Linked DNA regions of Macaca mulatta. Each later gene encodes a partner of the first gene's protein in a complex. Links are inferred from orthologs where the notes say so. Each region holds a gene or a part of one and is shown in the gene's direction. Other genes may lie near its edges. The genes, in order: CKB and ASB9.

Region 1 (3,901 bases):
TTATTCGTGAGATTTTTTTTTCTTCTTCTTCTTTAAATCGCATTTATGCTTATTGTTTATTAGCGTTTCCTCCCATCCTTGCCAGAAGTCTCTGGGGACTGCCTTTGGGGGTCGGGTGAGCTTGTCCCCTGCGAAGAGGGCCCAGGGTTGGGGTCTGGAAACTCCAAGGCTGCACTTGCCAGCGGCCTCTTAAGACCACAGTGTCCGCGTGGTTTCTGGCTCGCATTCCCCAGAGCCCCAGGACTTGTCCAAGGTCAGGGCACCGCGGGTGCCCCCGGGCTGGGCCGCAGCCAGACTGCGCCTCCCGCGCGCCTTCGCTTTGCACCAAGATCGCCCAGGAGATGCCTGCGGGCACCTTGAGGAAGATCGGCGGCTCCGGGCCAGCTCGCACTGGCCGGGGGTGGGGTGGGGGCAGTACCTGCTGCGGAAGCCCTGAACGCTTTCGCCCGGCCCCTCGCCGCCGCCGCGGGGGCTGGCTGGACTAGGCGGGCAGGCTGGAGGATGCGGATGAACCCGAGCGTCCTCGAGTGCCCAGAGGCTCTCCGCCTCAGTTTCCCGCTCGGAGGCAAGGGCGTGCGAGGGGATCCAGATATTCAAGGATCTGAGGTTTCGGCCTCGAGGTCTTGGGCGGGGGACTGGGCAGGCTGCGCGGGGTCCCAGCGGGGAGACGGCTCGGGTGGGCGGCCGGGGGTGTCAGGGGCTGCGGGCGGCGGACAAAGCGGCGGCACCACCCCGCGGCGCGGGCCAATGGAATGAATGGGCTATAAATAGCCGCCAATGGGCGGCCCTCGTTGCGTCCCTTAAGAGCCGCGGGAGCGCGGAGCAGCCGCTGTTCGCCTGCGTCGCTCCGGGAGCTGCCGACGGACGGAGCGCCCCCGCCCCCGCCCGGCCGCCCGGTGAGTGGGCCCGGGGGCCGGGGGCGTCGGCGCCGGGGCTAGGGGCGCTGCGTGCAAAGGGGGCGCGGGCGCTGCGGCGTCACGCGCTCCGGGCGCGTTGCCTGGAGCGCGCGCCGGACCGGCCGGGGGTCCCGGGCGATGATGGCGCTCCCCCGTGCGCGCTGCGGACCCCTCTGACCTTGGCCGCGTCCCGGGGGCGCCGAGGGGCCCGGCGGCGGGGGCCTGAGTGGTACGCGGGAGTCCGGGAACCCCGGCTTGCCGGTCCCTGCTGACCCCGCGTCTCCCCGCAGCCCGCCGCCGCCATGCCCTTCTCCAACAGCCACAACGCGCTGAAGCTGCGCTTCCCCGCCGAGGACGAGTTCCCGGACCTGAGCGCCCACAACAACCACATGGCCAAGGTGCTGACCCCCGAGCTGTACGCGGAGCTGCGCGCCAAGAGCACGCCGAGCGGCTTCACGCTGGACGACGTCATCCAGACAGGCGTGGACAACCCGGGTACGCGACCCCTCGGGGCCGGGGTCCCGGCGCCCCCTCCCCGCGCGCAGCCGCACGGTCCTCAGCAGCGCGCTCGGGCCCGGCAGTGACGTCACTGTCTCCGTCCCGCGCCCCCTCCCCTAGGCCACCCGTACATCATGACCGTGGGCTGCGTGGCGGGCGACGAGGAATCCTACGACGTGTTCAAGGATCTCTTCGACCCCATCATCGAGGACCGGCACGGCGGCTACAAGCCCAGCGATGAGCACAAGACCGACCTCAACCCCGACAACCTGCAGGTGCGGGGCGGCGGGCGGGCCGGGCGGGCCGGGCCGGGGTCTCCGGGCGCTCACTCCCGTCTCGCCCCCCAGGGCGGCGACGACCTGGACCCCAACTACGTGCTGAGCTCGCGGGTGCGCACGGGCCGCAGCATCCGCGGCTTCTGCCTGCCCCCGCACTGCAGCCGCGGGGAGCGCCGCGCCATCGAGAAGCTCGCGGTGGAAGGTAGGGGCCGGGAGGGCCAAGGGTCGGCGGCGGCTGCGTGCCCCTCCCGGCGCGGTCCCCGCCCGCTTTTGTTTATGTCGCCTGGGAGCGGCAGCCGCCGCCGCGCTCTTATCTGCGCGCCCCTGGGTTCAGTTTCCCGGAGGGACCGAGGGACGGAGGCCCAGCCCCGCGCCCACAGCGGCCTGGGGCCCAGGGAGGGCGGGTCCTGGCGCGGGGTCACCGACTGGGACCGTCGCCCGGGCCATGAGGACTGGACGCCCGCAAGTCTGGGCGGGTGGGGGCCTCTGACGTCCCCCGGGGTGAAGCACGGGGGCGGGCGGGTCCGCGCTGTGGGCTGGAGGGGCGGGCGCGGCAGCCGAGCGTCCTGAGCGCACGCCCCGCAGCCCTGTCCAGCCTGGACGGCGACCTGGCGGGCCGGTACTACGCGCTCAAGAGCATGACGGAGGCGGAGCAGCAGCAGCTCATCGACGACCACTTCCTCTTCGACAAGCCCGTGTCACCTCTGCTGCTGGCCTCGGGCATGGCCCGCGACTGGCCCGACGCCCGCGGTATCTGGTGCGTGTCCCTCTGCGCCCTCTCGCGGCGTCCGCCCTCTCCGCCGCCTCCCCTTTCCCTCTCGCCCCCCTCGCCGGGGTGGGGCCCCTCGCGGCAGGGAGGAGAAGGAGGAGAGGAGGAGGAGGAGAGGGAAGAGAGGAGGAGGAGGAGAGGGAGGAGGAGGAGGAGGAGGAGGAGGAGGAGGAGGAGGAGGGAGGGGCCGGCCGCGCTCCGGGTCTGGGTTACGTGCTGCGCCTCCCGCGCAGGTGACCTTGGCCGAGCAGGTGCGTTAAGGTACTGGGCCCAGGCCCCTGGGGGTTCAGGACTCAGCCCCTCTAGAGACGTGAGGTGGGGGCGGGGCCCCTGGCGCCTCTGCCCGACGCCCCTCGGGAGCTGGAGCTCCTTGTTTTCTCACTCCTCAGTCGCTGGGATTCTACCAGGGGCTGGTGACGCAGAAGCTTCTCCGGGGGCAGGGCTCCTACCCCCACTGTGGGGGGCGGGCGGGGCTGTCCTGGCGGTCCCTGGCCCTGCCCCACCTCAGACCACTGCACGACGTGATGGCAGCCGGGGTTCTGCTCACTGTGAGGCGTCTCGGCCCCGCCTGCCCCGTGTTGGGCGGAGTCTTGGCAGCAGCCCCTGCTCCAGGGCACGGTTGCGAGCAGCACCTCGGGGACTTGGGAAGTTCCTTTGGTCTGGGGACGGCCTGGGGCTTTTTTCTGGATATGCCCTGAGACCAGCCCTCCCGCAGGCACAATGACAATAAGACCTTCCTGGTGTGGGTCAACGAGGAGGATCACCTGCGGGTCATCTCCATGCAGAAGGGGGGCAACATGAAGGAGGTGTTCACCCGCTTCTGCACCGGCCTCACCCAGGTGCCAGGGACGGGGCAGGCCCAGACCCCAGGGCTCCAGCAGGGATGTGGGTGCCCCATCAGTCCCCCTGGGGGATTTCTGGGACTTGGGAGTCTCAGGGCCTGTGGGGGTCTCGGGCAGGCCTTCTCCCTCATACCCTTTTCTCCGTCTGCAGATTGAAACTCTCTTCAAGTCTAAGAACTATGAGTTCATGTGGAACCCTCACCTGGGCTACATCCTCACCTGCCCATCCAACCTGGGCACAGGGCTGCGGGCAGGAGTGCACATCAAGCTGCCCCACCTGGGCAAGCATGAGAAGTTCTCGGAGGTGCTTAAGCGGCTACGACTTCAGAAGCGAGGCACAGGTGAGCAGGGCGGGTGCTGCAGGCTTCCTGTTGGCCTTTGGACAGCCCTGTTTCCTCCGCCCTGACCTGCTGTCTCCCCAGGCGGTGTGGACACGGCTGCAGTGGGCGGGGTCTTCGACGTCTCCAACGCTGACCGCCTGGGCTTCTCGGAGGTGGAGCTGGTGCAGATGGTGGTGGACGGAGTGAAGCTGCTCATCGAGATGGAGCAGCGGCTGGAGCAGGGCCAGGCCATCGACGACCTCATGCCTGCCCAGAAGTGAAGCCCGGCCCACACCCG
Region 2 (3,901 bases), on another chromosome or scaffold:
CACAGCCAGTCTATGCTTGAGACTTAACTCAGAGCCTTCCCCCATGGGGATGAAAAATCCTCTTCCGCCTGGAAGAGAGGAACGGTGGGAGCCTAGAGGTGCCTGTCAGCCTGAAGTAGCACCCAGGGTGTGAGGCAACTGGGCTTATCTGAAAAGACATGGACACAGAGCATCCAAATTTTTTTTTTTTTTTTTTTTTTTTTTTTTTGAGGTGGAGTCTTGCACTATCGCCTGGGCTGGAGTCTCGCATTCGCCTGGGCTGGAGTCTCGCATCGTCACCTGGGCTGAAGTGCAGTGGCGTGATCTCAGCTCACTGCAACCTTTGCCTCCTGGGTTCAAGCGATTCTCCTGCCTCAGCCTCCCGAGTAGCTGGGATTACAGGCGCCTGCCACCACGCCCAGCTAATTTTTTTGTATTTTTAGTAGAGACGGGGTTTCACTATGTTAGCCAGACTGGTCTCAAACTCCTTACTTCGTGATCCGCCCACCTTGGCCTCCCAAAGTGCTGGGATTACAGGCATGAGCCACCACGCCCGGCCCCAAATGTTTTGTATAAGCAAAAACAGCAAAACGTTAACAAAATAAGTTGTAGTAATTCACAATGGAAAGATAGCGGGTCTCCTCCACATCCCAGGCCACCTAGCAATCCATTTTTCCAATTGCAACCGTTCATTATTTACTTAGTTAAAATAAAATGAGTGGAGGAAAGGTGAGGTAGGACATTTAGTGAAGTTCTTGCAACCGAAAGGAACAAAATGGTTCTTTCCAAAGGTACATTTTTTGTAACATATAGACACATTTTCCCATAAGAAACTCCCAGCACAATTGAAAGCACATGTGCAGATGGCCAGGGCGTGCTGTGCATGTTACTGTGCAAGCAATTCAGCAGGGCTGCTGCAAAACCAGCTTTCTCAGCTCTGGGTGCTCGGGCTTGTCTCCATAACAAGCTACCATGTAACAAACAGATCTCAGCAGGGTGAACAACAGTTGCAAAAAGTGAGCTGTTTCCTTCATCCCCACCCTGCTCCCTTCACTCTCAAAAGTTACAAACTGTGAGTTTCCTTCCTGATAAACTCCAAGGCTTCCTCACTGATTGGTCTCAGTTTGGAAAAGGACGTGACATCAGCAACTTCGCAGACTTAGGGCTGGAGGGTTCTTGTGGCCTCTGGCGGGCCTCCAGCCAGTTAGGTAAAGCGTGTGTGTGTGTGTGTGTGTGTGTGTGTGTGTGTGTGTGTGTACACGAGCGTGTGCCTCTCTGACCACAGGTAGCACTCAGATTACCCTGCCTGCTCTGTTCTTTGCTGCAGACCATTTGACCAGGACGTGTGCAGCTCAGCCAGCCACAGAACTGGAATTTTTCAGGAGCGGGGGAGCATGGAGTTTGGACTTTGCTGAGCAACTGAAGTGGAGCGCAGAGCTTGCTCACTTAGGAGAGAGCATCATGGATGGCAAACAAGGGGACATGGATGGGAGCAAGCCCGCGGGGCCAAGAGACTCTCCTGACATCAGGCTTCTTTCAAACCCATTGATGAGTGGTGAGTCATAGGGGCAGTGGAATCAGCCCTGGGGAGGTTGGCTAATGTGCTTAGGAGAGGAGGGTTGGGCAGTTTCAGTGGCTCTGTGTGAGGTGTCCATGGGTCTGTTACTGGGCAGATGCCCACAGGTCGCTGATATATATCCTTTACACAGCTGTTCAAAAATGTGTACACTTCTTTCTGCAGAATCCTACATACAACACAAATTCAGTTGTCCCAAATTATTCTCCAGTGAAAATTTCAGCTCCCAGGAATCATTCTTTGTGGGTCAGATGCATTATTTATTACATTAGAGGTTTGAAAGTTACTTACAAACAGGAAAATTTTTAATGCTAAAACTTTTTTCTTAATTTGCAAGTCTTAGGTGTTTGGTATTTAGGCGGGGCAGGGTTTATAAATGATGTTCAAACATTGAGCACTGATTGAGTCACTTTCAAAAGAGACAAAAGAGACTTTGTTTTACTTAAACATTGGAGAATCATCTTACAGGTATTCTCATCTGTCAGGTGGTGTCTGTGCTAACGTACAGAATGCCACAAATACACATTTTGGTGAGCATTCAGCAGGTGCTTGTTGGCTAAAAGGATTCAGAAAAATTTGTTTAGGCATTTGCACACAGGTTTTTATAAATAATAGTGTATTGGTTAGTAATATACTGGTTAACTCTCCAGCCCCAAGTCTGCAAAGTTGATGCCACATCCTTTCCCAAACTGAGACCAGTCAGTGAGGAAGCCTTGGAGTTTATCAGGAAGGAGACTCAAAGTTCGTAACTTTTGGAGAGCAAAGGGAGCAGGGTGAGGGTGAAGGAAACAGCTCACTTTCTGCAACTGTTGTTCACCCTGTTGAGATCCTTGGGGGCTTGTTATGGTGACAAGCCCCAGCACCCAGGGCTGGGAAAGCTGGTGTTGCCACAGCCTTGCTGAATTGATGTATTTATTATTTATTAATTTTTTTTTAAGACGGAGTCCTGCTCTGTTGCCCGGGCTGGAGTGCAGTGGCGCAATCTTGACTCACTGCAACCTTCGTCTCCTGGGTTCAGGCTTATATAGGCGGAGCACGGTGGTTTACACCTGAAATCCCAGCACTTTGGGAGGCCGAGGCAGGCGGATCGCGAGGTCATGATACCATCCTGGCCAACATGGTGAAACCCCGTTGCTACCTAAAATACAAAAATTAGCTGGGATTACACGTACCTGTAATCCCACCTACTCGGGAGGCTGAGGCAAGAGAATCGCTTGAACCCGGGAGGCGGAGGTTGCAGTGAGCCGAGATCCCGCCATTGCACTCCAGTCCGTGCGACAGAGTGAGACTCCGTCTCAAAAAAACCAAAACAGGCCGGGCGCGGTGGCTCACGCCTGTAATCCCAGCACTTTGAGAGGCCAAGGCAGGCGGATCACGAGGTCAGGAGATCGAGACCATCCTGGCTAACACGGTGAAACCCCGTCTCTACCAAAAAATAACAAAAAAATTAGCCGGGCGTGGTAGTGGGCGCCTGTAGTCCCAGCTACTCGGGAGGCTGAGGTGGAGCTTGCAGTGAGCCAAGATCGTACCGCTGCACTCCAGCCTGAGCCACAGAACGAGACTCCATCTCAAAAAAAAAAAAAGTGTGTAAATATATATACACACACACACACACACCTGGTATACTGCCCACAGCACCTGCTGATTAAAGGGGCAGTAAACAGGGAGAGACCCTGAAGTCAGTCAGGGTTTTTGTTTTTGTTTTTTTTTTTTGAGACGGAGTCTCGCTCTGTCGCCCAGGCTGGAGTGCAGGGGCGCGATCTCGGCTCACTGCCAGCTCCACCTCCCGGGTTCACGCCATTCTCCTGCCTCAGCCTCCCGAGTAGCTGGGACTACAGGTGCCCGCCACCACGCCAGGCTAATGTTTTGTGTGTTTTTAGTAGAGACGGGTTTTCACCGTGTTAGCCAGGATGGTCTGGATCTCCTGACCTCGTGATCCACCGGCCTCGGCCTCCCAAAGTGCTGGGATTACAGGCGTGAGCCACTGTGCCCGGCCTGTTTTGGTTTTTTTGAGACGGAGTCTCACTCTGTCGCACGGGCTGGAGTGCAATGGCGGGATCTCGGCTCACTGCAACCTCCGCCTCCCGGGTTCAAGCGATTCTCCTGCCTCAGCTTCCCGAGTAGCTGGGATTATAGGTGCCCGCCACCACGCCTGGCTAATTTTTGTATTTTTAGTAGAGATGGGGTTTCGCCACGTTGGCCAGGCTGGTCTCGAACTCCTGACCTCCGCCTGGGCCTCCCAAAGTGCTAGGATTACAGGCGTGAGCCACCGTGCCCAGCCGTCAGTCAGGGTTTATTAATCTACTATGCAGGTACTGAAAGGGTAAAAATGGAAGAAATAAAACA

The links.
Region 2: the proteins of CKB (region 1) and ASB9 are in contact, whole or in part, in a cryo-EM structure (PDB 6V9H), measured with the Homo sapiens proteins. The link is inferred for Macaca mulatta from reciprocal best matches to the Homo sapiens genes CKB and ASB9. Residues at the interface, in NP_001814.2 of Homo sapiens: Asn63, Pro64, Gly65, His66, Pro67, Tyr68, Ile69, Thr71, Arg130, Arg132, His191, Val198, Ser199, Pro200, Leu201, Leu202, Leu226, Trp228, Glu232, Ile238, Met240, Asn286, Arg292, Gly303, Lys304, His305, Glu306, Lys319, Arg320, Gly321; in NP_001026909.1 of Homo sapiens: Leu25, Asn27, Pro28, Leu29, Met30, Gly31, Asp32, Ala33, Val34, Ser35, Asp36, Trp37, Pro39, Glu42, Ile45, His46, Trp60, Ala67, Asp68, His69, Glu75, Ala100, Asp101, Trp102, Val111, Asp133, Leu134, Ser165, His166.

What each region holds. Positions count from the first base shown.
Region 1 is NC_133412.1:176,941,533-176,945,433, reverse strand, and holds the start of CKB (creatine kinase B-type), read left to right. Parts: upstream 1-847; 5' UTR 848-896; intron 897-1,186; 5' UTR 1,187-1,198; coding exon 1,199-1,391; intron 1,392-1,514; coding exon 1,515-1,669; coding exon of another isoform or gene 1,670-1,741; coding exon 1,742-1,874; intron 1,875-2,257; coding exon 2,258-2,429; intron 2,430-3,156; coding exon 3,157-3,280; intron 3,281-3,434; coding exon 3,435-3,624; intron 3,625-3,705; coding exon 3,706-3,884; 3' UTR 3,885-3,901. UniProt on the Homo sapiens protein: Reversibly catalyzes the transfer of phosphate between ATP and various phosphogens (e.g. creatine phosphate).
Region 2 is NC_133426.1:14,924,365-14,928,265, reverse strand, and holds the start of ASB9 (ankyrin repeat and SOCS box protein 9), read left to right. Parts: upstream 1-1,002; 5' UTR 1,003-1,187; intron 1,188-1,201; exon of another isoform or gene 1,202-1,306; 5' UTR 1,307-1,440; coding exon 1,441-1,534; intron 1,535-3,901. UniProt on the Homo sapiens protein: Substrate-recognition component of a cullin-5-RING E3 ubiquitin-protein ligase complex (ECS complex, also named CRL5 complex), which mediates the ubiquitination and subsequent proteasomal degradation of target proteins.